Linked DNA regions of Pelodiscus sinensis. The protein of the gene in region 2 purifies or fractionates together with the protein of the main gene of each other region. This does not show direct contact. Links are inferred from orthologs where the notes say so. Each region holds a gene or a part of one and is shown on either strand. Other genes may lie near its edges.

Region 1 (7,960 bases), on a different chromosome or scaffold from region 2:
AGTACGGGGAAAAAAAGGGTTCCAACTAGAGTAAAAAGTTTGGGAAACCCTGGTCTAACCAGCTTTCTGTCTGTCTTATACTCCATTTACCCAATCCATATTCTTTAACTTGATGGCAAGAATATTGTGAGTGACCATATCAAAAGCTTTGCTAAAGCTGGCACGGGGGCTTTGGGAGGACCAGAAACAACTTATTTGAATATTCATAATTTGAGTAATGAATATGCAAATATATGTTATCAGTCCTCCAAAAGTTCGTGAATGGATTTACTGGTCCCCATGTCAAAAAGTTTGGGAACCCCTGGTATAGAGTATTTGATTAGTCGATTGGGAGCTTCTGCCTTTGAAATGTAGCAACAGCCCCAGGGCTCTTGCTATACTTCCAAGGTGAAAGCGCTGAAGCCCAGGATCAGCTGGGGATTCCCTTGCTGACCCTGGGCTCTGTGCAGCGCTGCCGCTTTGAAATGCCGCAAGGAGCCCGACACCACACTACTGCTTTGAAATGCCATGGGAAGTCTTGAGTCAGCTGATCCTGGGCTCCATGCGGCATTTCAAAGCAGCAGTGCAGCACGGAGCCCCGGGTCAGCTGTGGAGTCCCCAGCTGATCCTGGGTTCCATGCGGCACTGCTGCTTTGAAATGCCATGAGGAGCCTGACGCCGGGCTCCCTGCAGCATTCAAAGTGGCAGCACCGCACGGAGCAGCTGACCCTGGGCTTCGTGCTGCACTGGCACTTTAAGTACCCCCCTCGTCTCCCCTCCCTCGCTGCCTCTCTCGGATAGAGGCGGCAAGTGGGTGGGGGTGGGGGGGGGGGGGGAAGCGGGAGTGACTAGTCAACTATCCAGTAAGCATCCTCTCAACTATCCAGTAAGCATTTCCTTATTGGATAGTCGACTAGTCCTTCACATCCCTACCTACATGTAGAAATGAAAATACTCTCACTGTTGTCTGCCACTAAATAACACTATAAAAGTCCACTGGAATAACCTATATCTAGAACACATGAGAAGACACAAGCATTGTGTAATCTAGACTATGGGTTTGGTGCGCACACACTTCCAAAGACCACCTCCATTTAGAAACTTACAGAAACCCTAATTACTAGGGAACGTTCCTATATTTGGTCCAATTTAAAAGATATTAAACACCTCATTACACTCTAGCAAACTTCACAGAACAGATTCTACCAAATTCAGATAGTTCCTCCAAATATTGTTATTGCCAAAGGGGAGAGGGTACTTTTTGTACATGTTATGGGCAAGGATGCCAAATAACATTCTGCTGGTAAAGAGCACATACATACATTCATTTGACAGACAAAATTATTCTACAAATATAAAAGAGGAAGAATTTCAACTTAGAAAATATTATTGAATATTGAATAATATTGAATGTAGATATGATGAAATACAAACTATTCAAACAAATATAATTTATTGATAGATATAGCTTAGAAGGTATGAAATATAGTCAGCCCCAGATGCAGGTTTATATTCTATGCTTTGCCAAAGCTTAGGCACTATGAAGCCAAGCCGGGAGGTCATTTGTGTATCCTTCTGTCTGTTCATCTTTGATGGAGACACATCATAGGCTTCTCTAAAATGTTCAGCTGCCATTGGTCCCCAACTTCTAACTTCAGTGGGACTGCTCACACACTTATCATTAAACATGTGCATAAATGTTTTCAAGACTGGGCTTAAATGCAACAGAATATTCATATTATTGATACCTGCATTTGGATCAAGACAACAATATTTTAAAACTAAGATACAAAAGAAAAAAAGTGTGTTAATCAAGTATAACTGTCCCTTACCATGTCTGTAGCCAAACTTAGTTGCAAAGGCAGTCATTCATCAGAGGATGAAATAGAGAAAATTAGTGAGCATAGAGGTCAGTCATTACAAGTAATAAAAACTGATTGCTCTTATTTAGTCTTGCAATAATATAATTTCTAACAGGATACCTTTATTAGAAGTAAAAAGCAAAACAGTTTTGCAAAACTAGGAATCTACTGGCCTTCCATGACACTTCCAGGAATGCATATCTTTAAGGGGACTTCACTATGCAGGTACAGGTAGTAATTTCATATTTAGTCTGTCTACAAGCACTGAATCCACCTATGGCATAAACAAACAAATAGTTGATTACAAAATTGTGACATTTAACCAAAACAGAACAAGCACCCGCCTTATGTATTTGTATTCAATAAGAACCAATAAATGTCATATATATATTCCAATTCCCACCAGCTAACCCATTAACCATTCACATCCCTAATACAGACTGTATAGCATTGCAAAATTATTTATCCATAAATATGAATACTGTTATTGTACTGCATTTCTGTTTTATTTGTTCTTTCATTTGCATAGAAAAACAAAGATAAGCACTAAATGGAACAGGAACACTTGTTTCAGTATTTCAGTGTGATTTGATTCATCTTACAAAATATAAACCCTTTAAATCAAAGTTACACAATACTGTAAGATAAAGATAATGAGCGGAGACTGCTTTTGAAAAACTTTTGATCTTCTCACCTCATGGAATAATGCCTAAGGGTACACTGGTTCAACACATTGCAATGGCCTTTGAATTCAAGAGGTGTGTGTTAGTTAAAAGAGCAATAAGATTCAGGGTCTCAGATCTAGTCCTTGGCAGACAATGTTGTAGGTGGTGGAATTTATATTATGGTGCAGCATATGTCTGAATGGAGAAGCAAGGCATCAAGGAGGGAGTGAGGGTATATGGAAAGAATAGATAGGAATGGACTGCTGTGTGGGTCACATACTGATATAGGGTGTGTCTAAAGTATACCCCCTGTTGGCAGAGGGATGTTAATTAAACGCATCGAAAGTGTAAATGAAGCGGGGATTTAAATATCCCATGCTTCATTTGCATAATCGCATCCTGACGCTGTTTTGAACAAGCGCCATTTCGAAACTGAAACCACGATTTAGACGTGGTTTTTCCGACAATGGGGTGATTTTTTTGAAAAATCAATGAGGAGCACAGGATCGTTTGAAAAATCGCCCAGTTGTCGGAAAAACTGTGTCTAAATCGCGGTTTCAGTTTCAAAATGGCGCTTGTTCAAAACAGCGCCAGGACATGATTATGCAAATGAAGCACGGGATATTTAAAACCCTGTCTCATTTGCACTTTTGAAACGTCTAATTTACATCCCTCTGCCGACAGAGGGGTGTAGTTTAGACTTAGCCATAATGTCTGGAACAATGCCCCAGTAGCGTTTTTAAAGTAGGGATTGTGACTGCGTACTGGGTTGCAGAATGCCAGGCACTGGGTCTCGTTGCTACAGGGTGATCAGTGGGGTGCTAAGGAATGCTTCCTGCCTGTCTGCAGATTTTGCTGCATCCCAGAAGCAGCCAGCAGCAGACCCGGCTCTTCGGGATGAGGGAGGAAGACTGCACAGGGGTCTGCACACTGCCCCTGCCCTGAGTACTAGGCTCCACATTCCCATTGGCTGGGAACCTGCTGCTAGCTGCTCCTGTGGTGTAATATGGGTCTGTGGTGCCAGAACAGGCAGGAAGCTGCCTTAACACTCCTGCTGTACTGCTGACCTGGAGCCACTTGAGATAAGCCCCTCCTTCCACAGTTGCGACCCTCCCCCAAAAGCTGGAGCCCCATCCTACAGTCCAAAGCTACTATCCTCAGCCCCACCCCGGAGCTCACACTTTAGTCAAATTATGTTGGTTTGCAAGCATCAACAATTTTCTTCAACAAAGTCACGAGAAAAAAAAGTTTGAAAACCACTGGCATAGGCAATAATGCTTTGGGAGATAACTCCACACAAAGTGCACTGAATGTAAATATTCCCACCTGACCCCTGCAAGGGATTAAGACTCACCCTAGAATATTAGATTAAATTATCCATAGTGTAGTTTAATATTTACTATTTGCATTATCATAGCACTTAGGACCTCAACTCTGTTGTGCTAAATGCTGTACAAACACAGAACATTCCCTGTCTCAGGGAATCTTACAATCTATGTAAGGCTAAAGAGAGTAGGTAGATAGGGGGATAGACAGGGGAGTACAGGGAAATAATGATATACTGATTAGCATAAGAGACTGTGGCATCAGTGCACCAGGGTCCTAAAGTCAAAGTTTTTGTAGCAGAATACAGCTATTCAGATTTTCCATGGCAATTTTGTCCCTCCCCTATTTTTTACCAAATGTTATCCCTTTAACTTTTCCTACTACTTTTTCACATTTTTTTCTTGCAAGTAGGAATAAGAGATCCTCCGGAAAAGGGCTTTATTCCGGAGGATCGCGCCAGTCTAGACGCTCTTTTCCGGCTTTTCCCCAAGCCGGAAAAAAAGCGGCGGCCATGTTTATTTAAATCCCACGGGGGATATTTAAATCCCCCGCGGATTTCCCTATTCTGACTTGCCTGCTTTGCATGCCTATTCCGTCTTATGTGGCCAGTCTAGACGTAGCCTTGGAGTTTAGTTGGTTAGAATACAGAAGGAGAAGCGAACAGGTTGATTATTTGTGATATCATAGGAATAGGCTTACTGTATAACACAGAAGCTTCAGAGGGTAGTCCAGTTAGTCTGTACAGAAAAAAACAACGAATGGTCTGGTAGCACTTTATAGACTAATCAAAACAGGTAGATTCTATCATAAGCTTTCGTGGGCACAGCCCACTTCTTCAGATGACCGGAGTTATAACACAGCCACATCACCTCAGGAAGATGAGGGCATAGCACTGCAACTGGAAGCAAGCCGACAAGCTGCATAGACAAACTGAGGGTAGACTGATTATTTGAGAGATGTGGGACAAAACTGTCTGGAACCCAACATTTTCTGTGGTGCTCTAGGCTCATGCTCTAGGTCAAACAGGGATTCACATTGTTTTGTTACAGTAGCTAGGCTCTGTGATGGTACTAATGGGGGAGGGGGAGGCAATTGGCAAGAGTCACATACTGTACATCTTAGCTTCTCTTGTACTGACTTCTTGGTAACAGCGGTTTGGGCACGTTCACCTGAGCAGGGGCAGGCTGTCTGCCTGTCTGAGAGCAGGTCTGCTTGGGCAGGGGCTGCAATGGGAGGCTGGTTTGCGCTGGCCCGGAATATCATTCTGCCAGACCTGTGGGGCGCCGCACAGCCGCTCCCAGCTCTGCCAGCAATCCCGGCGGACGCTTGGCTCCTCCAGCCGGGCTTGCAAGGGGCTGGGACTCCCTGAGCTGACTCCGCCCGCACCACATGACTTCTCCATCCGCAAGAGCAAACTTTTCCCGTCCCGAGGCTGGAAAATGGCGGCTTAGGAGCGGAGTGCCCGCATCCCATCCCGGCTCGGCGCCTCCCCAGCGCCATGACTCGCTGGGTGCCCACCAAGCGGGAGGAGAAATACGGCGTGGGTGAGGCCCTCTCCTCAGCTCCCCCGGGGTCCCGCTTGTTTGCTTGGACTCAAACTTTGCACAAGTTTGTTCTCCAGCGGGGAGTCCCGGAGTCGGCGCTCCCTGCCCTGCTCCGGCTGCCGCCTTTATTCCCTTCCCTTCTGCCTGTTGTCCGCATCTGCTCCCGGCCCGCGGCGAGCTCTGCCCGGGGGGTTGCCCTGCCTGAGCTCGCGGCTGCAGCCCTGTGCGCTGGGCTGGGGCGGAGAGGGCGGGCAGGCGCGTCTCTGCCAGGCCTGGCGTAGCGGGGGTGGGAATGGGGAGCTGCCGCTTCCCTGAAGCTCACATTGGAAATCGCATTTCCTCCGCGGGATTGGCGGGCACTTCCGTGGCACTTCGCTGCTAAGTAACGTCCCGCGGGCCGCCCTTCCCTAAGGCTGCCCAGGGTACAACGTGGGACCCGGGCTGTGAACTTTCTAGTTGGGCATTACCCTGCCCCTGACAAATATCTCAAGTCCCGCTCCTCCCCACATCAAGCCTGGTTTTGATTTTATCGGCCTTGACTAGCAGGAGCTATCTACATGATTCGCCTCCTCTTCCCCCCTGTTCATTGTGCAGCCTAATTGCAGGCGGCTTAGACTCCTGCCCGGTGAGCACAGGTTTTGTCATCAGTGTATTACAGGGTTGTTACCCCCTTTATTTACGGCTTTGAGTTTCTAAATGCGTACTTTGAAAACGTCGGAGAGGGTATATGTCAGTGACCAGGAAAACAAGGCTGCCCTATCCCTTTTTTTTGCTCCATTTTAGATGAGTAGAATGGGATACAGTTAGCTTATATCTGATTTTTTGAGAGAGCTCTGCTACTAATGGGTGAATAAACTGTAACATTCTAGAACTGATCCCAAACATTTTAAAGGGTGTTTGTCAGTTCCTCTCAGAAAGTATTCATAAATGCAGGGTGTATAAACAATGCTTATCATGCACAAGTGAATATTTTGACAACATTGAGCACACTCTGTCTTCATTATTCCACATTAAGAAAAGCAAGATTTGGGGGTAGAGAGAGAAAAGGGCGCACTGTTCTGCAGAAAATAATAATTAGATATTTCTCAGTTTCTATCTTCACATCTTCTATCCCCCTGAAATGAGAGGGAAGAATACATCTGGCTTTTAATTCAGAAGTCTCCACATTAAAGTCAGTATTTTGGAAGAATATTCAGATAACTAGAAATGTACTGAATTTCAAAAGCAGATGCTATGAGTAGAAGGGAGCAGATTATATCTTGCATAAATACGAGTGTTTCTCTTGAGGAAGGAAATATAAAATCTGCAGTTCCATTTGGAAATGTTCATTTGAAAGGTTTTTTTTTCCGGACAATTAGTAGATCTCTTAGCAACGTTGCTTGCAAATGTGAAGATGAATTTTAGTTTGACTGGTTCTTTATGTGTCTAAACCTTTTTGTATTTATTTACTTTTTTTGAAGAACAACTGTATGTTATGGAAAAGGAAGTTCTGGGACTGGGCAGGAGGAGCATAGTGAACTTCAGAGGTTTGTGTTGGGTAGTGCACAGATGTTAAGTCTTTGGGTTAGAGTGTCCCAAGTTTAGTAGTACACCCTTTCTGCCCAGATAATACACAGAACAGTATTTTGTGTGCAAGACACCCAACTTCAGTAACAAGGAAAATGAAAAAGGAATTTCAGAAATTAAAGCTGCTACGGGATGCATGTATTTATTTCAGATCACACGGTATATAAATTCACATCTGTATCATCTGAATTATTTAACATGGTGGGATGAATTAAGGCAGTGCCACAGAACTACTGATTTATATTCAAGTGTAGATTTTATAGAAGGTCTTTCACAAGTACAACAGTGTGTAATTCTGTTTTGCTGTCTCTTCTCCAGTACCACCAAGGTGCATTTTGGAAGTTTAATGGTAAAGCATGGACAGTTAATTCAGTTTCTAATATATAGTACAATACAGTTAACTAAAAGCTAGGAAGCTAAAAATTGGGTGAGGAATTTGGAGAGCTTGCTGTTCAGGAGCCAAAGTGATGTATTTTGGTTTCTTTGGGGATATGTTGGAGTAGAGAGTAAGGATTAGTAGTTATAATTTAATTTTTTAAGTAAATCTGGTATCCATTGTGGGAAACTATCACGTTTCAGAGATCTGGACTTTACTGATTGAAATGGAAATACTGGTTTTGATGTTTATGAAAGAGGGAGTATTTTGGAACTACCTGACACATTAGTGTTAAATCAGTGTTTTATCTCTTTATAATAGGAATAACTTCCGAGTCTGTAGCAGAATGGTGCAGTGTCTTTATATTTCTTAATTCTAAATATAAGTTTAGTCCATAGTCTAATGATCATAGAAAAATCTCATGCTTTTATTTGGTGTAACAACTTCCTGTTTTTTTCCACATTAGCTGTGAATGATGATCACTAGCTACATTATGGAATTTCTCTAATGAATTTCAAGGGTGTGGGAGTTGAGAATAGATGTGTTGTTGCTATGAAGGAAAATTAGATTTGATGCTAAGTGAACATAGACATTTTCATTTGCCTGCACTGTTAAAATCTGGCTCTCAGAACAGGTTTAGGA
Region 2 (6,935 bases):
ATAAATGACCTCTTATACAAAACCACAAATTTTGAAAGTATTGTTATGGTTAGTGTGTAAATTATTACGAAGAATGTGTGTATAGTTTGTTACACCTGTTTCCTCTAAAAACAACAACATAATAGCTGATGTACTTGATCAGACCAATGGTCCATCTAGACTTGTATCCTACCTCCAACAGTGGCCAGGACCAGAGCTTCAGAAAGCATGTACGGAATGGAGAAGTTCTGGAGTGATACATTCCTGTCTTCTGGCAGTGGTAGGGTGAGGGTACATCTAGACTGCGGGGTTTTTCCAGGATACTTCTGCTACATCCAGAGAACGCATTCGCGCCTTCATTTTTTTTTATTTTTTTATTTTTTTTTTGCAGAAGAGCAAACACGATCTTTTGGGAGCCCTCTCTTCCTCATTTTAGGACGAAGAAGGGATCTTCTGAAAAAGGGGGATTTTCTGAAATTTGGCCCAGTGTAAACAGGCCAAATTTTGGAAAAGCCTCTCTCCCCCCCCCCAAAAAAAACCCAGAAAAAAGGTATGCAAAATGCAGTTGCACACTGACCATCTTGGCTAAGCAATTTATAGACCAATCCTTCATGAATTTATCTTATTCTTATTTTGAAACCAGACAGACTTCATTCTTTCAGAACATTTAATGCAGACAAGATATTCATTTTAATAAAGTAAATATAGGCAAAGAACTAAGATGTTAATTTAAAAATTAAAGTTATTTTACTCTTTCATTATAGCAATTTAAGATAAGTGAAAGCCAGCATCAATTAATTGCAGCACTAATAAAGTCTGTCAGAACATCATTCTTGCGTACCATAAGCAGTAAGAGCAAGCCAGGTATCTCACATGAATTTTGAAATTCAACATTGTTTAAAATAAGTTTAACAAATAATTAAATATTAATGAAGACTATTCATTGCAAAGTAATATGATGAAAACAACACTAAATTACATGGGGCTGACGGTGATTTCTTCTAGCTGTACTTACACTCCTCAATCTATCTACACTGGGTTGCTGTGATGCCCAATTATGCTTAGATTACACTGGAATGTTTGTTTCCCAAGGAAAAAAAATGAAACTGCATAAAACGAGTCTTGTTTTCCAGCTGGCCTGTGATGCTCTGAGAGCTCTGATACCTAGTAAGAAAAAAATATTCCAAAATAGGGGGAAGAGCTTCCCTTTACTAAGCCTATTTTATCATGGAGTACTAAAATATCAAAGTACCTAAACACACACACGCCTTCTAACATGTTCTTTACAAAGGAATCCAGCAGTTATGCATAAACTCAGGCTCAATTCCATTACAAATAACTAAAAGTTACTTCAATTATAGCAGGGAATGCAAAAGCACTAGAGATGCACATAGTTCTTTACAGACGATTAAAACATGACAGTTTGAGAGGTTTTTGCATTAGAATAAATACCTACAGGCTCCTACTTTACTAACATAGTAAGATACAGTCCTTGCCCTGCAGAGATGGCAATTTACACTGAATTTGTAATCTACATTTTAATCTTTAACAATAAAGACACAGATCTATCAAAACACCGACTAACCCTACCCATGTTTATCACTACTCTAATGAAGTCTTTCTAAAGGAGAGAGATAAAAGGGTAAGTTTTATGTTCAGTTACTTCAACAGTACCTTTACTATATAACTTCAAAGTAGGAAAGAACTGTTTGAATTAAACATCACAAATATAATTAGGTATCAGGGGAAACAATTGTGTCCACTACTAAACCAATTGCAGTTTTGAACCAGTCAGCAAAGTGGATAGCTACAATAACTTGGGGAAGTTAACTATCTCTTTGCCAGCATATAAAAGGAGTACATATCCTCATGTACACAGAAAGACACTAGTTTTGTAAGCATGAAAACTAAGCAACAAGTCATCACTTACCATCCACATTTGAGATACCTGTCCATTCACCACATAAAACAAGAGCTCTAGGGCATCCACCAATCACCAACACCCTTATGTTTCTTAGCAATAACGAAGCCATCGCCGTACCCATTTCTTCCACCGCTCCCCATTTGCCAATAGGAATAGAAGAACCACCAACCCTCCACAGATCCCCTTCCCTGGTGGCTCTGCTTCTACAGCAACTGCAATACAAATCTCACCACATGGCTCCACAGCCCTGAAATAACTTGCTGCTGCCTACACTCCGGCAGAGCACCCCACCCACACTCTCACACAATTGGGGATGGGAGAAGCACTTAATATCAATGTCCTCCAGTACCAGGGTGGGGATTAATCCATTTGTTGCAGTTATTTATAACAGCGCCTACTTCAGAGGACCCTATACGCGCTGCCCGTCCCCAACAGGGAGCCCTGAGGAATGGTGTTGTAGCTGTGGGTGAAAAGTTTGTTTTCTGTGTGTGACGGGGGGAGAAACAATAGTGGAGCCGGGCCACCCAGGGAGAGAGAGAGAGGGAGTGTCCCGCCCAGCCACCCCACGCGGGGGACGGACGCCTGGGGAGGCCCGCTTCGGCCACCCGAGGAAAGTGAGAACATACCCCGGGGGAAGAGAGGCCCGCCCCGACACCCCACGGAGGAAGGGGAACATATCCCCGGGGAGAAGAGAGAGGCCCATCCGGCCACCCACGGACGGCGGGGGACGGAGCCCAGACGAGAGGCCCGCCCCGGCCACTGGATGCGAGGGGACTTCAGAGAAACTGGGGCAGCCCCTCGCGGAGCGGGAAGGCGGGTGTGGTCGGGTCCCACCCGGGGAGAAGCAGCAGCCGGCCGAACTTACCCGTCTCCCACCACCACACACTTGATGGCCTGCATCGGGGCTGCTGCGGGGCCGGGTCTCCGCGCCTCCTGCTTCTACCTGGCTGGGAAGGTCCGTGAGGCGAGGGGCCCGCGTGTCTGCACCAGCGTCTGGCCGCCTCCGCCCTCAGCGCCTGGAAGCGGGGACGAGGCAGCGGCCACCACCCAAAGCGGGGAGAGCGGAGTGCTGCAGGGAAACAGGAAGCGACCGCCCCGCTCACATCCGGCCTCGCTGTGCTCAGCCCCCCCCCAACTGCCCCGCCCGGCCGGCCAGGCGGCTTCGGAGCCGTTCGGAAAAGCTCGGGCTCTCGTTCCCCGCGACAGCCGCGACTTCGTTAACGTTCGGCAACACGTGACTCACAGCGGGCTGGGCTTGGCTTCGGTCATCTTCGGCACTGTTCGGACGTGAAAGGGGCTCGGCTCCGTGTCCGTTACCTCAGGCTGGGGGGTGTCCATACTTGTGCTACTAACCTAGTCCGGGAACCTGGGGGGGGGGGGAGGGGGTGATGAACTGGCCTCTCGCTCCTGTTCTTGTCCTTATAGAATCATAGAACCATAGGGCTGGAAGAGACCTCAGGGGGGCATCAGTCCAGCCCCCTGCCCAAGGCAGGACCAATCCCGACTCAATCAACCCGGCCAGGGCTTTGTCAAGCCGAGACGTAAACACCTCTAGGGATGGAGACTCCACCACTTCCCTAGGGAACCCATTCCAGTGTTTCACCACCCTCCTAGTGAAACAGTTTTTCCTAATATCTAACCTGGACCTCTCCCACTGCAACTTGAGACCATTGCTCCATTCTGCATCCGTTACTGTGAACAGCCTTTCTCCAGCCTCTTTGGAACCTCCCTTCAGGAAGTTGAAGGCTGCTATCAAATCCCCCCTCACTCTTCTCTTCTGCAGACTAAACAGACCCGACTCCCTCAGCCTCTCCTCCTAAGTCTCAGCCTCCTTATGGGCAGAGGGAGACTTAGTGTGACCATTGGTATCAATCCGTCCTGTGACACGGGGTCCTGCTAAAGTCACCACGTCAGAGGCAGGGCGTCGTACCTCAGCGTGAGGCCATCCCACTCAAACCCTAATCCCGCTTCCCTCGGGCTGTCGAGAGATGGTGTCATAGCCTGATGTAGGGCTATAAGTCACCATGGTGCCTACCTGTCAGGGAGGCCCTCGGGGAGTCCCTTTAACACTGAGCCTCAAGATATCTCATTGGTACCTCAGGAACAAAATGCAACCTGGTGACATTAGGGTGTGACATGGACGTGTCATACTACAACATAAAGCCACAAAGTCAGCACCAGAGACCTTATCACATTACCTTTTTCTCCTTTTAAACATCTGTTACAAGTTCAGTTCAGACAAGGGCAACAAAAATTATTAGGGGCATGGAACAGCTGCCATATGAAAGAGTGATTAATAAGACTGGGACTTTTCAGCTTGAAAAAGAGATGATGGGGGGAGGAGGGACATGATCTATAAAATATGACTGGTGTGGAAAAAGTGAATTAAAAGAGTTATTTATTCCATCCCATAATACAAAAGCTAAAGGTCACCAAATGAAATGAATAGGTAGCGAGTCTGAAGAAAAGGAAAAATGTCTCAGAGGAGTAACTGTGTTAATCTTTAAAAACAGCAAGCAGTCCTGTGGCAACTTAGAGATTAACAAATATATTATGTCATGACAACCACGAAAGCTCATGATATAACTTATTTGTTAGTCTCTAAGGTACCACAGGACTTCTTGTTGTTTTAAAACAAAAGGAAGTACTTCACACACCATTCAGTCAACCTGTGGAACTCTTTGCCAGAGGATTTTGTGAAGGCCAAGACTATAACAGAGTTCAAAAAAGAGATAGATAAATTCATGGAGGATAGGTCCATCAATGGCTATTATCCAAGATGGGCAGGGATAGTGTCCCTAACCTCTGTTTGCCAGAAGCTGGGAATGGGTGAGAGTGGATGAATCATTTGATGACTACCTGTTCTGTTCATTCCCTCTGGGGCACCTGGCATTAGCCAATGGTGGAAGACAGGATATGGGGCTAGATGGACAGTGAGCTGACCTAGTATAGCCATTATAATTTAATTTAATTTAATTTATTTATTTATTTATGTATTTAAAAATATTTTACCTCACCTCTCTATTTAAAATATAATTTTTAAAACATATATATATATATATATATATATATATAAAATTAAAATACGATGTTCTCATGTCCTGTTAGAAGGCAACCGAAACCACATCTTTAACCACATCTTCTTTTCAATGTGCCTTACATCTATAAATACCTCTATAAATAGTTAAATTATTTAACTGTGTATTCAAATATTTATACCAGAAAAGTTTTAGACATATATATAACTTAAGATATTAAAATAATAATTCAGTTTTGGATGGTTTCCATATATAATAGAAAACCACAGATCCATTCCATCTTTTTAACATGTATTTGTAAAGTGATGCATTTGAAATTATAGCTGAATTTCTCCCTTAAGCTAAGTATCCTATGAATACTGTACAAGGCAGTTGCTTACAGTTGTTTTTTTATATATATATTCCTTTAGGTACTTTAGGGATTGTTAACAAACTGTACTATCTCTATACCCCTGTTATTTACTTTATTCTTGCAATTCTATGTTTTATAAAATACAAACAAGATTTTCAAACATAGAAATAAATAATACAGTGCTGTAAATTTATACTGGTCTTTTTAGACAAGTTTTTTGTCCTGAGGATCAGAAAAGTGAGCGATGGGCCAAGGGGACAGACTGAAGGGTTAGATTCACAGGGTATGACTAGACTACATGCCTATAAATTAAACATACTGACATAGTCAATGAAGTGGGGATTTAAATATCCCCCGCTTCATTAGAATAAAAATGGCCACCGCGTTGTGCCAGCTCAGCTGTTTGTCGGCACAAAGCGGCAGTCAAGACGGGGATCGGTCAGCAAGGAAAGCCTTTGCCAACCAACCCCGTCTAGACTGCTGCTTTGTGCCGACAAACAGCTGAGCAGGTGGCCATTTTTATTCTAATGAAGTGGGGGCTATTTAAATCCCTGCTTCATTGACTATGTTGGTATGTCTAATTTACATGCCTCTGTCGGCAGAGGCATGTAGTCTAGACACACCCAGAGACTGACAATATGCTCCAAACCTCAGGATCAGATAACAGGCTAAAGGAAGTAGAGTTGCCATGTATCTGATTTTCAACTGGAACAACAGTAAAAAAGGGATCCTGGTGGCTCCGGTCAGCAGCACTGACCAGGCCATTAAGGGCATGTCTACACTAGGAAATTATTTTGAAATAACTAAATTCAAAGTAATAATTCCCAAAATAACAAAGTCAAAATAGCACATCCTTGCTGTGGGGGAGCCTCAAAATTAGTCTGAGGCAGGCTCCATTATTGTGGACATGCTACCTCAACTTAGAAGCACTGGGGGGTAATAACTTTGAATTATTCTGGGGAATACAGGCAGTCCTCGGGTTACGTCGGTCCAACTTACGTCGGACCCCTAGTTACAAACCGGGGGGGGCCGCGCTAGTGCGGGGTGCCTCCCCCACTGTCGCCGCCTCTGGCGGCGCGGGGGGCGCTTCCCCCCAGCAGACCAGGGAGACGCGGAGCTAGCGCCCCCCCCCCCCAGCGGACCAGGAAGATGCAGAGCGGCTTTTCTTGCCACGGAGGACGTGGGTGACGGGACCGCCGAGACGCACTGTGGTCCCGCCGCCCACGTCCTCCGCGGCGAGAAAAGCCACCCCGCGTCTCCCTGGTCTGCTGGGGGGGGGGCGCAGCTAGTGCACCCCACCCCCAGCAGACCAGGCTTTACTCGCCGACGCCTGGGATAGAGCAGCTGGGGTGCTGCCGGTTTGGTCCAGTAGCGCCGAGCAGCGGCGCTGTGGGACCAACCCAGCAGCACCCCAGCTGCTCTGCCCCAGGCATGTCCAGTTCAGCCGCTGCTGGTCAGTTTCAACAGCGGCTGAATCTGGACGCCAGTTCCGACTTACATACAAATTCAACTTAAGAACAAACCTACAGTCCCTATCTTGTACGTAACCCGGGGACTGCCTGTAGTTACAAGGCATCTCCACTGTAAGTTGCTCCAGTATACATTTGTTCTGCACTAAAGTCATTGACACTTGTAGGAACTG
Region 3 (6,873 bases), on a different chromosome or scaffold from region 2:
CCCCCAGCAGACCAGGGAGAGGCGGAGCAAAGCCGCGGAAGACCCGGGCGACGGGACCGCCCAGCAGACCAGGGAGATGCGGAGCAGCTTTTCTCGCTCTGGAGGACGCGGGCAGCGGGACAGCGGCGCGTCTGGGCGGTCCCGCTGCCCGCGTCCTCCGGGGTGAGAAAAGCCCCGTTCGTAAGTACGGATCCGACATAAGTCAGATCTGCGTAACGCAGGGACTGCCTGTAGTCTATATCATTATCCCATAATCTTTTGCTTATCAGTTAATCGACTATACTAGTACATATCTTAAGGTTCTGATGTGTCTGCTCATCAAAGCTGTATCTCACCTTCTACACCAGGGGTTCTCAACATGTTTTCCTTCTGAGGCCTTACCTCTCAATATACTACAAAAAATGTCACTGCACACCTGTACCCCAACAGCTGTGTTTCCGTATAACCAATCAATTGAAAGCCAGAGCTGGTGTTGGGGGTACCAAGCATCCAAGGCTCTACAAAAGCTAAATTATTTGGGCTTTGGCTTCAGATCTCAGCAGCAGGGTCCAAGCTTTGGCTTTCTATCCAATACTCACTGGTTTCCAGCACCATTCCTGCTCTCTGGTTTATTTTGTTGGACCTCCTGAAACTGGCTCACGGCCCTCCGAAGAGGTCCCATTGTTGAGAATCATTGTTCTTTACCACTGTTTATAGACACGCTACTTGGACATGCAATATCTGTACCCTACAACCACCACATATGTAGACCTACCCATTGTTTTAGTTCTGAAGAATGTGTTGACAACATACCTCACTGGAAGTAGCAGGTGGACAATAGCAAATTTACACTAGCAAATAATTCTAAAGGTTGTACTGTGACTTTACTCCAGACCCTTAAATGATTACACTTTACTATAATATATTGAGCACAACAGAGTTTAACTAAAAGCTGTAGTTTCCATCACGATAGTACGAGATTAATATACACAGATTGATTTAACAGAGATTCAGCATTAAGAAAATATTGCTTTTATATAAATTGATTTGCAGCATAATACTTGAGATACAATATTTAAATAGCAATGTTACACCAAAGATTAGTTTGACAAACAGACTTTGAAATACATTATTACCTTTCAACAACTATACCATGCAACTACAGACAACACCCTGTAGGTGCATACCAGGAAAACAAGGAATGCACTTTTATAGAATCACCTAACAATTGCTGGCAGGCAGTATGAGAGTCAATGACAGCTGTATTCTCAAAATTAACAAATCACATATGGGGTAACTCACATCTGGTGTTTAAGCAGAAGGTAAATCACAAAACTTGTTTTGCTATTGTACCATACATAGTCCATTTATAAAGATGAAATAAAAGTTGTACACATCAAATGTCGAAATAAAAAAAAGGTTTAGAAAACAGAAATTTCCCCTAAAACAAGTCTTGCAGTTATTTTTATGTCAATATTATTTCTGCTACTTTGGTTCTAGAGTGGCCATGATCACTAAAAAAAAATTAAAAACAGCATGTAAGAAATATTAAAGCCTCATGCTGCATTTTCTACTTGCTATGCTTTACTCTTGTTGATACCTTCAAAGGAATCCAGTGGGTTTCCTTTAAAACTGAAATATTTGCTAGAAATGTGAAAATCCAACATCACAAAGCAAACTAAAACATCTAATTACTATATTTATTTCTGATTCCAAAACACAAAACTGAATGAAACAAAATCATTCATAGACACATGAATAATAGATCTAGAAGGACTTCCTACATGCTTAAGATACAAGTACAGATTACTTTGGGCTATTACATTTTATAATTATTGTAGCCACACGTTAAACTGGCACAGAGGGATGGATGTTTTGGTGGCTGGAGGAGGCGGAGGGCTACATGGTGTTGGGATTGCTGTTTGGAGGTCTTTTGCTCACAGGCAACAGCGGAACAATGGTAGCAATCTTTCAAATTGGCAGCTATTTCCAGTGAGTATGATTGAATCTGCTTCTCTTCAAAAGGCAAATCGCATCTAGCTCCATCATCCATTCCCACCTCTGGCCTCTACAGTCCTCATTACATAAATTAAGCGGAGGTGGCTGGGTCAGGGTAGTAGCGAGCGTCTTGTGACAACCAACGAACGCCCCCCCATCAATTACTGACCCCAACAATGGAAAGGTCCCGCCCCGTGAGTGAGGCTCTGCACTGGGTGCTGCACTTGGAGGCGGGGGGGGGGGGGGAGACATTTCGCTGCTAAAAGTGCAAAACCACCCTCACCCCGCAGCCAGAGGCGAGGAACTGACACACCTGTCCCTGCAACAGCCGGAGGAGGCTCGGCGCTCACCCCCCACCCAAACACCAGCTGCAGCCAGCTAGAGAGGGACCCCACTGGCTCACCCCCATTGCTCCCTTCACCCCAGGGCAGATGGGGGGCACCCTGAGGGGGGAAGGATGGCGAAGGTGTCACTCTGGGTGGGGATGGAAGGATGGCGGGGGCCGATGAAGGGCCGCTGCCCTCCCCGCGGTGGGCGCAGGTCACGGCGGAGGAGGCGCAGACTGCGGGGCACTTACTCTCGCCGCTCAGCGCGCTGCTCCCCTCACACCTTCATGCCGCCGACCAGCCCCGCCCTCTCAGCGCCCCCGAGGCTCGCGCTGCTCCCTGCTCGCTACGAATCCGAAGTTCAAACGGCTCCTTCCAACCGCCTCACCCTGCTGGAGAGACTCGCTGTGGAGGGGAAGGACCCGAACCCGGCGCGAGCTGGGGGGCGGCGGCGCGGAGCTCCCCAAAGGCTTCACAATAGACACAGAGCGGCGCGTGTGTGTGCGCGTGGGAGGAGGGGCTTCTCCCCGGCCCGGACACACTCGCCAAGCGTGTGGCGGCTGTTTACTCAACACCTGACCGGCCTTCGCCGCCTCCCCTAGGAACTAGGTGAATGCCTCCCCCAAAATCCGTGACATTGAGTATTAGGGAGCCCCGATTTCTCCACACACCCCCTCAAAATGGCAGGTGGTATAGTCCAGTTCGTTCGCTAGTCGAGCTGGGGGGGAGGGGCCGAAGGCATTGTGACGTTTTCTAAAGCCGGCTTCGGGCAGCCAATGGGAATGGGAAAGGAGTGGTTAGACGGAGAGTGGGTGGAGCTGCTTGTTGCTCCAAAGAGAGTGGGAGGGGCTGTTTCCATCGAGTGTCTCCTGCTGTACTTAGCGCAGCGTGGTTAGTGCGCAGATGCATGGTTTCTGTTCGAGGGTCCTGGCGGTACGCAGAACTCTCTGAATATGTGCATGTATCGGTTTCCTCGTGTATGAAATAGGGCAGTTAAAAGTTACTTATCTGACAGAATAGTAATAGAAATGTAGCGGTGTTAGTCTGGTGTAGCTGAAGCAAAATGCAGGACTATGTAGCACTTTAAAGACTAACAAGATGGTTTATTAGATGATGAGCTTTCGTGGGCCAGACCCACTTCCTCAGATCAAATAATGGAAGAAAATAGTCACAACCATATATACCAAAGGATACAATTTAAAAAAATGAACACATATGAAAAGGACAAATCACATTTCAGAACAGGGGGGGGAGGAAGGTAAGTGTCTGTGAGTTAATGATATTAGAGGTGGGGAAAGGTAGCTATCTTTGTAATGGGTAAAGTAGTTGGGGTCGAATTTTAGCATGAATGACAGTTCAGAGGATTCCCTTTCAAGTGCAGATGTAAAAGGTCTTTGTAGCAGAATGTAGGTAGATAAGTCGTTGAGATAGTGTCCTTTCTGGTTGAAATGGCAAGAAATTGTTTTTTCTTTGCGATCCTGTCTGATATCTGTTTTGTTGGCGTTAATCCTTTCGCGAAGAGTCTGAGACGTTTGTCCAATGTACATAGCAGATGGACACTTTCGGCACATGATAGCATAAATTATATTTCTGGATGCGCAGGAATATGTGTTCTTGATCTTATAACTCACTTGGTTAGGTCCAATAATGGTATCAGCAGATATCACCCTTACCTGACGGAGAGGGTGAAGTCCATGTGTGTGAGAAGAAGTGACAATGCACGCATTGTTATCAACTGCATAAAGTTCATATTGAAACCAACAAAGCAATTGATGGATTACAACAATCAGGTTGACATTAGTGCTGCCTTGGACAGTAGAAGATGTTGGTTGCAGAAGAAGCCAACCTGTGGTGATTCATAGGTTTCAAGACCTTATTTCCAACACATTAATTTCCAATCTGAATTTGTCTAGTTTCCGTGTTGGCTGATCACTTACCGGTATATCATTTTCTACTAGAGTGAATGCAATCCAGCGGTTGGAGGTTGAAATTAGGCAAATTGTGTTTTCGGTTTTCCTAGATGCGTTGGAATAAAGGGAAGCAGAAGTGTAGAGTTCATATTATGGCAATATTTTGTTTATAATTTACAGATAAAATATTGAACCAAGCATCTAAAACCTTGATTCAAGGTTGTTTTTTGGGGGGGGGGGAGTTTAAGCACACATGTGAGTAACGGGTAGAATCCTGCAAATTCTTGGATATCTGCTTTATATCCACAGATGTGAATGCAGATTCCGTGGTTCATTTTTGCAGATACAAATACAGATTTTGTATCCATGAAGGGTTCTCTGGCTATGGGACCAGCTCCGTAGCACAAACAATGTTTGGAAAATCAGTATCTATTGAAAGAGCTTATGCTTACTGTGTATCTACCACTACAGTACCTTCCATGGATGATTAGCAGTACCATGCCATCCTGGTTCATTAGTCTTATTCTCAAGATCTTTTTAGTTGTGGGGGTTTTACTATGTAATTCTTTAAGTATTTATTTGGTAGGGAAAGAGTGCTTGTCATTCCGCGGGAACAGGGAAAGAGCCTTTTTCTTGTGAAACCTGCTTAGACCCGCAAGACCCATCACATTCGACCTGTCCTGCTACGGCGCGTTGCACGCTGGGATTTGCAGTCCTTCCTGTGAGTCCTGAAAGATTAACCCTATTTCAGCACCTTGGGAAGGGAACTCTGCTTCCCAAAATCATGTTTCGTAAAAGACGCAGAAAATTATAAGTATTTTATGTTAAAAACTCGCATTTACGTAATTTCCATTCAGTCGCAACAAAGCGCAAATCTATCGGATCAGAGGAGCTTATGTAACTGGCAGGACGCGTTTGTTCCGGGTGCTCCCGCGGTTCCTCCTCGCGAAGATGTCGGCAGCTATCGCCGCGCTCGCCTCCTACGGCGGCTCCGACTCGGGCTCCGACTCGGACACCGAGGGAAGCTCCCGCCGCCCGGCGCTGGTGGCCAGCCGGGACGCGGTGCTGCACCTCGCTTCGCCGCCCCCTGGCCCGCAGGCCTTGGCGGTGGACGCGGCCCCGGAGGTGGCTGTGAAGGTAGGAGGGAGAGGAAGGGCCTGGGCTGGGACGGGCCGATCCCTTCCAACCCCCTGCGCCGCGCTGCTGGGCCGGTGCCAGGCGGGGGACAGCTGCGCGGGGAGGGTTGCCCCTTATTGTGTGTCTCGCTTGGGCGCTTCAGGGGAGGCCGCCTGCGGCCTTGGCGCCCTCAGCTGCGCCACTGGGGGCTCGGGGTGGAGGCTCAGGTTGCTGGACAGGCATTCGGGGCTGGCAGGGGCTCGGTCCGGAGCGCGCTCATATCTCGGTACCCGACCCCTTGAGTTGCAGGCAGGTGTGGGGGTGGATCTTTCTCTCAGTTCTCTTCTGCTGTGGCACCTTCTTAACCAGATTGAAGTCTTAGGCCTTGTCGCTGAGCTTCCAAATCAGGTCTTGCACCATTCAGATCGCTTTCGGGAGAAAGGTGCCTACGATGTGATATGTGCATACTGGTGAAAGGGGGAGAATCCGCTTCTCGTGTTACCCAAGGGCTACGTCTAGACTGGCATGAATTTCTGGAAATGCTTTTAACGGAAAAGTTTTCCGTTAAAAGCATTTTCGGAAAAGCGCGTCTAGATTGGCACGGACGCTTTTCCACAAAAGCACTTTTTGCGGAAAAGCGTCTGCGGCCAATCTAGACGTGCTTTTCCGCAAAAAAGCCCCGATCGCCATTTTCGCAGTCGGGGCTTTTTTGTGGAAAACAAATCTCTGCTGTCTACATTGGCCCTTTTGCGCAAAAGTTTTTCGGAAAAAGACTTTTGCCCGAATGGGAGCAGCATAGTATTTCCGCAAAAGCACTGACAATCTTACATGAGATCGTCAGTGCTTTTGCGGAAATTCAAGCGGCCAGTGTAGACAGCTGGCAAGTTTTTCTGCAAAAGCAGATGATTTTGTAGAAAAACTTGCCAGTCTAGACACAGCCATGCTGTTCCCCCTTCCCATGCTGGGGAAGGGTGTTTGAGATTAATGCGCTAATGCTGACCTTCCCACTCTCCCACGTGATGGGATTGTGCTAACAGGTGTCTTCAATCCACTGTTCAGCTCACCACTCTTAGCAGCATGCTTTTGGGGTAGGAGAAAGGTGAATAACATCAGAGTGAGGCTCAGACTTTTAGGATGTTGTCCTCTTCCCTTCTCATGCCCCTTAACCCTCCCTCCATTTTGTATACACACTTCAAATTCTAGGTATCTTACCCCATTTCCTATCTAATAGTTTCAAGCTTTGATTTAGAGAATTGATTATAGGATTCAGAATCTTAATTTGATATTAGAGGACTGTACCCCCTGCTTGCTATGCTCACCAACCCCACTCTCTCTGGCGGGAGGTAGCCTCAGTCCCCCCTCCCCCCCCCCCAGCTGCCTGGTAGGGTCAAAGCCTTGCCAGCCCTAGCTCTCCCCCATCCGTGGGGGCTTGCCAGCTCTGGCACTCTTCCCTTGGCTGTGGGGGGGGGGGAGCGGTGCCTTGCCAGGCCTTGTGCTCTCCCCCTGGCTGCCAACGGGTGAGGAGGTGCTGCTCTGAGGCTTCG
Region 4 (7,725 bases), on a different chromosome or scaffold from region 2:
ATGAAAAAAATCTTCAGGGAATGTGGGAACCTGCCCTCTAATACCTGGGAAAGTGCATTATGGATGTTTGAGAACTAGAGATGACTCCTGGACTTTAGTATTTTTGCTTGTCACTCAATGTTATCAGAAGACCAAGATGCAGCAGAGATGACATCTGCCACAAAATATCCTTAATAATAAGTAGGTGGTGGATTCTTGGCCTCTTTTATGTGCAACAAGCAGTCCACTTCTTTCCATGCACCTCTTTCCTATGGCAAAAAGCATCCTTGTTGGAGCTTGGCTTACTATGCAGAATCTGGTGTCCAATCTCCCTCACCCTCTCCAATTTAGACTTTCATATTAAGTCTACTCATTGACTTCCTTTCCTCCAAGGGATACTCTGCATAATAAATGGAAGTGTTGCAACTTTTTTTCCCCAATGAATAATGAGAAGCAAAGAGGCAGCCTTGCTTAGCCAACTTTCCCTCAACTGTTCCAAAGGCTTGGTGCAGACAGCCTCAGCCCTCTGCTGAAGACAGTGTGATCTGTCAGGAACAGTACTGTAGTTTGCCACTGCAAGAGATTAACCTTTTTCCCACTAGAGAATAGGGCTATCTTATTTTGAACAATAGCCAAGTAACCTGGAAAAAATATGACAGAGAAGGGAAGAATATGACTCCAATAGAACAGCTGCTAGGGCTATTGAACTGTCTTGTAAATCATCCACCCTTAGCCATGCATGCCATCATTTCAATGCCACTGTGGAGCCATTTAACTATTAGTGTTCCAATCTAATAGGCTACCCTATTTTCAGAGCTAAACAGGAAAGAAGGGACAAGTTCCACAAGCAGAAATGCTCATGCAATTGTGCATTTTTGCATGTGGACCTTAGTGGTTCAATAAGGGTACACTCTCCCTGAAAACGGCACCTGTAGCAGTAGACTTCCCACTGTCAATTAGCAATTAAACATTGTTTTCACATAGAGCCTATTCCTGCTGAGTATTTCTCCCCTCCTGAGCTGTCATTTGCTGCTTTGAAGGATAACCATTTATAACTCCGCGTAAGACCTATCTTGTCTTTTGTCCTTGATGAACCATATTCCCTCAGCCATTGAGAAGCATGAGCTTGTTACTAGATAGGATGTGTGTTCTGGCTCTGGTGTTGCAAGTTCTGAAAGGAACAGAAGAAAGGACAGCTGCCCTATTCTAAATCACATACTTCAATGTCTTACACTAAGGGTTTTTTCGAAAAAACGTGGCAGTTTTTCAAAAAAACTTCCCCTGAATCTAGACCATTGCCGCGTTCTTTTGAAAGTAAATCGGAAGAACACGGCAATTTTTTTCAACCGCGGAAAACCTCGTTTTACGAGGAAGAATGTCTTTTTTCAAAAGTGCTCTTTCGAAAAAATGCTTTATGTAATGCAAACTGCTTTTTTGAAAGAGAGCATCCAGACTGCCTGGGTGCTCTCTTTCAAAAAAGCGGCTTGCTTTTTTGAAAGTACTGGTTGTAGTCTAAACGCTCTTTTTCAAAAGAGGCTTGCAATCTAGACATAGCCTAATAGACTGGGCTTTCTTTTCTCCCAAATCTGCCTCATGGAAGTTCTTTATGCACACTGCAATTAGATTTGCTTTTAACTTTCCAAAATAGAGTGGAATACTCTGTTGCTTTCAGTATGGTAGGTCCTGAATTACAGCTTGTTGAGAAAATTTTTTTTAACTTTCATTCCAGTGGAGAAGCCACCACCACTGCAATACACTTTGTAAAAACTCAGGGCACCATGGCCAGGCCGAATGGCTACACCGTGAACTGGTAATGTCTGCCCAACATAAGAAAATGCAGAAACTGTCTGTGTGTCGGGATGTCAACGAGAAAGTATGTGTCCTTGAGATCGAGGGCAGCACATCAGTCCCCTGGATCCAGGGAAGCGATAATGGAGGCCAGGGATACCATGTGGAACTATAGTTTTTATATGAATGCATTTAAGTTCCTGAGGCCAAGGAAAGGAGAGTAAACCCCCTTTAGACCTGGGGATGAGGAAGTATCGTGAGTAAAACCTCCTGCCCCGAACTCCTGAGGAACCTCCTCTATCACACCTATTGTGAGGAGTGACTGGACCTCTTGCATCAGAAGGTGTTCATGAGAAGGGTCCCTGAAGAGGGACGGGGAGGGGGCATGGTGGGGAGGAAGGGAACAGAAGTGGATAGAGTATCCCACTCTGCCATGCTCAGGACGCTCCGGTCCGAGGTGCTCTGCGACCATGCCTGGTAAAAGTGGGACAAACTGTTCCCAAAGGGAGGGACAGGATCTGGAACTGAGTCTGGTGCTCTGTCCTCAAGTGCACCCTAAAAATTGGAACTTGGGCATGGAGGGCTGTTGAGAGGTGCCCAGGTGTTGGTTGGTGGAGGATTGAGGAGATCCCCTCCTGTTATTGCACTAACTGTTATGGTGGGAGGACTGGGGGAAAAACCGGGCAGGTTGCAGGGGCTTAAAGTGTCTGCGCTGCAGGGCAGGTGTACGGGTGAGACAGGAGCCATCAAAGAGAAGGAGCCTGGTGCCGAGGGGGCCAGAAAAAACATAGAAAGGGCAACGTATGACACTGTAAGTAGCATCACTGGCACCACCGCAGGAGCTGTCTGCTCATGGAGGAGCCAGGGCTGGTGCCACATGGGCGATGCTGTTGTTGTCGTCAGCGATGCTGTCAGCAGATGGTGGTGCTGCTCCACCATGATGGGCTCTGGAGAGTCGACCAACACTGGACTTGACAGCCCTGCCCTGGGTGCTGGAGACAATGGTGCTGGGGGGCCCGACTTGGGCAGGCTTGGTGCTGCATGGGTGGCCACGGGGGCCTTACTAGAAAGGAGAGCATCCTCAGTCTTTTTCTTCTTCTTAGGCACCGGTGAATGGGAGTGGTGCTATGCCAAGAAGCTCACCTTACATGTGGGGGATCGGTGACAATAGTCCCGGTGCTCCTACTGCCAAAGTGTCCCACTCCGAGGCTGGCACAATACAGATGGAGGGAGCTGAATCTGCATCATGGGGCTGAAGTGCCAGCTCCATTAGCAGGAACTTAAGCCTCTGATTTCTCGTGTGTTTGGTCTGGGGCTTGAAACCCCTGCAGTAGCTACACTTATCCTGAAGATGGCCTTCTCCAAGATGCTGCAAACAGTCAGTGTGTGGGTTACCTGTAAGCATATGCTTCCTGCACTTAACACATTGTTTAAACCCTTGGGACAGCTACATGCCCCACAGACTTGGCAGATAGTGGAGAGGGAAACGCCCGCAGAGATACTAACTGTATGAGGGCTTGTCTAAACTGCATTCCACTCTTGAAAGAGGAATGCAAATGAAGCAGATCGAAAATTCAAATGAAGCATGGATTTACAAATCTCGCGCTTCATTTGCATAATTGCATCCGATCGCTTTTTCAAAAAAGGGATTTAAAAAAAAACCCTCCGCAGTCTTGATGGGGTTCTTTTGAAAGAAAAAGAAAAAAAAAAAACTTTTTTGAAAGAACCGGTACACCTCATTTTTTCAGGAGTACGGATTCTTTCAAAAAAGGGGTTGGTTTTTTTTTGAAGGAGCCCCGTCTAGACTACGGGTTTTTTTTGTTTTTTTTTTTTAAAACCCTTTTTCGAAAAAGCACTCGGACACAATTATGCAAATGAAGCACAAGATTTGTAAATCCGCGCTTCATTTGAATTTTTGATCTTTTGAGAGAAGAATGCAGTCTAGACAGAGCCTGAGTGAGAACAACTCTATCGACACAATGAAGAACTCTTAACTATGCACTAGGGAAGAACCACTTGCTAAGCAAGAAGTCCAAAGCTCCAGCAACCGTCACTGGTGGAAAGAAGGAACTGAAGTGGGAGTCAGGTCAGCAGGGGTATATGTATGATGCTGTGAGGCATCACTACCAGGGGTGCTACAGCCAATCCAACAGGTACCACTAGGGAAAACTCTTCTGACAATCATCCATATTGGAATGCACATGAGCAAGCACTCAAAGAAGAAATGTGCTTTCTTCTACATTGTTTTGTAAAACTTTTCATGTTCCTATCAATATTTTGATCAGTGTTCATTTATAATTTTTCTGTCCTTGGGTTAACTTTTCAAAAGTGATTCTTAATGGGAGGCATGTATGTTTAGGGTGGGAAATAGAAGAAATTTCACCATGATGCTAAACTGCCTGAAAAATTCGTGTAAAAATATTTCAGATTTTGAACATGGAAAAATCCAATGTATTCTATAAATGCTTTATGTAAGATTTGTGAAAGAAATTCACACAGTGAAACAAAATTATTCCAGAATGTCTTCATGATTTTTTGCAATTAAATTTTCAAGCTCTTGTTGACTAGTCTTGCTTTTGCACAAATTTGCAAACACTTAACATATATGAATAAAGTTATGCATATATTGCTATCAACTTCAGTGAGACTACAGATGAGGGGAATTACTTATATGCTTAAGACTTTGTGGGATAGGATAAAGACCTTATGATAGGATAAAGTACTCAGATACTGATGGGTGTGATACAAATTTCTAAGCAGAGAGGATATCCTTTTTTATTTACGAGCAACAGTAAATATTTCACTGAGAGCACAATAAAGGATCTCAAGCCATTTATATAGCCACAAGCTTGTTTCTTCCTTTAGAATGAGCATAGCTTCTAGTTTTTATAAAAATCACAAGTGTCAGAGGTTTTCAGTACAGTTGTTTCAAACTTTAGCCCTGCAGTCACTAGAAGAGGCAGGAAGATGCAATCACGGATGTGGGTTAGAGCTAGTAGCTGCAGAAAACTTCTGCACTGAAGGCAGAACTCTCAACGATGAATTCAGAAGAGCGGATCGTGACATGGCTTATTTCATTAGGAGTTTTAAATTCGCCCAAAAAGATGATAGGTGATCCAGAGCAGTTCCTGAAAGCTTCTCTGAAAGATGGAGTAGTACTTTGCAAATTGATAAATCGGCTTCTTCCAGGATATGTGGAAAAGGTAACTTCTTAAGTACATTTTGGTAGTCAGTAGGGCAGAAACATCTTGTGACACTGCTGCATGTTTCTAATACTCTGAGAAACTGGAGTATAATATCTTAGGGAATCATGACATACTCTGTTTTAGAGGAGGGAAGAAAGGAAAGATGCCATCTGTGTTTGAGAGAGACTTTAGTATTTTATCTTGTTTCAAAGATACTGTATTGTTAGCTGGATCTAAGTAAAATATAAATTTGGATTGTAGCTTTTTTAATGTTTATAATCTCTTAGATTTTGTCAGCAACATGAAACAAAAAAAGTATTGCTTGCATATACAATTGGAATTAGCTGAATTATGTATGCATGGCTTAAATCCTGACATATAGTGTATGCATGCTCTTGAATTTTGAACAGGAATATTTACTCAACCAAAAGTCAAATCTCCAAGTTTTTAGATAATGTATCTATGACTTGACAATATAATGCTTAAGTTTTAAAAACTATTCATTAAAGGAATATACTAATATCTTGCTAATCAGGAAATATAATAAGATGGAGAAGGGACTCAAGTGGGAATAAAAGTAAACCGTCATCAGTGCTAGTTTAAATTTGATCTGGCCAATACATTTGCAATATCTTGAAGCTGCTAAACTAAATTAGTACATTGTGTTACAGTTTTATTTGGTATGTAGGCAGACAGTTCAAATCAGCAATAAGCAACTGCAAACATAAAAGCGGAAGGAGTCTGATGAGAGATAAGGAAATGGCAACACAGAAGAACTGTCAGTAAAATGACAGAAAAAACAGGTTCCTTCTCTTATAAAACAGGAATCTTTTTTTTAAAAAAATCAGTTGAGCTAGCTGCATCTCTCTCTCCATTTATGTATGTACTGGTGGTTTTGGGCAATGTACTGATAAAGGTCAAACTTCTCATTATCACTTAGGGCACTGTCATATGCTGACATTCAAAACAACATGCCGACCATTTAGATTTATGCATCACTTCCTCCAGCGGCTCTTCCTGGTTTGACAGCTTGCATGCCACCCCCATGCCTCCCCCTAAAAAGCTTCCCTAATTCAGAATAGATGCACATGTCAAATATCTATGCAAGCCTGCTGAACAAAGACTATCCTGATGGTAATACAGTAAGCATGTCTGGGTTTTGTTTCTTTAGTATTGTCTGGAGCCCAAAAATGAAGCAGATTGCATCAGTAACATTCAGGAGTTCTTAAAAGGCTGTGTGACGCTTAAAGTGGAGGTAAGTTATTCCACTTATCACTATTACACTTTTAAAAATTATTATTCTGCTAATCTGTTTCCCGTGTGAATGTTCCTAAATATTAATAAGTAGCAGGAGATTAAAGTGATCATTATATTTTCAGGTATCTAAAAGGATGTTTACAAGGAGGAGGGAGAAAAATTCTTCTCCTTGACCTCGGAGAATAGGACAAGAAGCAATCGGCTTAAATTGTAGCAAGGGAGATTTAGGCTGGACATTAGGAAAAACTTCCTAACCGTCAGGATGGTTGAACATGGGAATAAATTGCCTGGGGGGGTGGTTGTGGAATCTCTATCACTGGAGATATTTAAGAGCAGGTTAGACAGACATCTATCAGGGATGATCTAGACAGTGCTTGGTCCTGCTGTGAGGGCAGGGGACTGGACTCAATGAGATCCCTTCCAGTTCTATGATTCTATGATGATATCTTGATTTAGTAAAATACACAAGAGTAGAGATTACTCAATATTCACGACAGGGATTCAGGGAGATTTTGTAAATATACTAGAGTGACGCGGAGTTGAGCAGCTTTTGAGATGAAGCTAAATGTGGGAAGAGGAACATACACTAAAAATAACATTAATTCTAGAGAGAACTGAGTAGTTTGATAGTGCTGGAGATTTGTTGGTTCTAAAGAAAAGTTCATGCAATCTTTAACCCTGCTTTAATTGACTTTATATTGTAGTAATGTCAAGACTACATTTAGCCAAGGTCTTACTTCACAAAGTATTGTTGTGTTAATTGTGATAGAATAAATGGTTCCAGAGAATCAAAGGAATTAACATGACCATGTTGCAGTGGTGCATGTTATGTACAGTTAAATAAGACTTGAGGGTTTGTGTACAGAGACATTAGCCTACTTCATCCCATGGCAAACATAGTCAAAAATCCATGCCAAAAGAGATACACAAAGGGGAAAAAATCAGAAGATATTCTGGAATTCAAATGGAGTGGTTAACAGAATAAATTTAACCAGAACCTATTGAAATCCCTTTTTCACAAAGAGCATATGTTAGTTCTGTTTTGTCAGATAATCCTTCATAGTGGGGAAGAAAGGGTTGGAACCTTTCATAAACTTTCACATACTTTATAACAGCTAAGTTCACAACTGGGGTAAGACTAAAAGACCCCAATTAATACCACAGGATCCTAAAATGCTTTACAAATATTGGGCCTGATTCTGAAAAATATATTTGTAGAGATGTAGCCTTTACTCATACAAAAAAGTCAATGATGTCAAAGGAATTACTTACATAAATAACACCTGCTTAACATGAGTAGAGGTTGCAGAATGGGCCTTTTATATCGCCCCAATGAGTGCAAGCTGATTCCTATGCCCAAGCCTAGCTCAGTGCAAGTGGAACCCTATATAACAGGTATCGAGATCAAGGCCTAAATGACTGTGCTGATTCTTAAAAATAGAAGTTCAGCTAGTTTTGCTGTAAACTTTCAGATTGGTTATGTGGTGACCCTTAGAACATAAGAACGGCCGTACTG

Evidence for each region.
Region 1: the proteins of RAC1 (region 2) and DOCK1 purify together in Homo sapiens (pull-down; 6 studies listed by BioGRID and IntAct, with this or other methods). This does not show direct contact. The link is inferred for Pelodiscus sinensis from reciprocal best matches to the Homo sapiens genes RAC1 and DOCK1.
Region 3: the proteins of RAC1 (region 2) and WASF1 purify together in Homo sapiens (affinity purification with western blotting; 3 studies listed by BioGRID and IntAct, with this or other methods). This does not show direct contact. The link is inferred for Pelodiscus sinensis from reciprocal best matches to the Homo sapiens genes RAC1 and WASF1.
Region 4: the proteins of RAC1 (region 2) and ARHGEF6 purify together in Homo sapiens (affinity purification with mass spectrometry; 3 studies listed by BioGRID, with this or other methods). This does not show direct contact. The link is inferred for Pelodiscus sinensis from reciprocal best matches to the Homo sapiens genes RAC1 and ARHGEF6.

Annotation. Positions count from the first base shown.
Region 1 is NC_134718.1:52,380,437-52,388,396, reverse strand, and holds the start of DOCK1 (dedicator of cytokinesis protein 1), read left to right. Parts: upstream 1-4,951; 5' UTR 4,952-5,330; coding exon 5,331-5,376; intron 5,377-7,960. UniProt on the Homo sapiens protein: Involved in cytoskeletal rearrangements required for phagocytosis of apoptotic cells and cell motility. Along with DOCK1, mediates CRK/CRKL regulation of epithelial and endothelial cell spreading and migration on type IV collagen.
Region 2 is NC_134726.1:23,058,032-23,064,966, forward strand, and holds the start of RAC1 (ras-related C3 botulinum toxin substrate 1), read right to left. Parts: upstream 3,011-6,935; 5' UTR 2,804-3,010; coding exon 2,769-2,803; intron 1-2,768. UniProt on the Homo sapiens protein: Plasma membrane-associated small GTPase which cycles between active GTP-bound and inactive GDP-bound states.
Region 3 is NC_134713.1:78,569,448-78,576,320, forward strand, and holds the start of WASF1 (actin-binding protein WASF1), read right to left. Parts: upstream 3,011-6,873; 5' UTR 2,555-3,010; intron 1-2,554. Other genes in the region: CDC40 (pre-mRNA-processing factor 17), read left to right, coding at 5,165-5,350.
Region 4 is NC_134723.1:35,326,989-35,334,713, reverse strand, and holds the start of ARHGEF6 (rho guanine nucleotide exchange factor 6), read left to right. Parts: upstream 1-4,704; 5' UTR 4,705-4,805; coding exon 4,806-4,970; intron 4,971-6,123; coding exon 6,124-6,207; intron 6,208-7,725. UniProt on the Homo sapiens protein: Acts as a RAC1 guanine nucleotide exchange factor (GEF).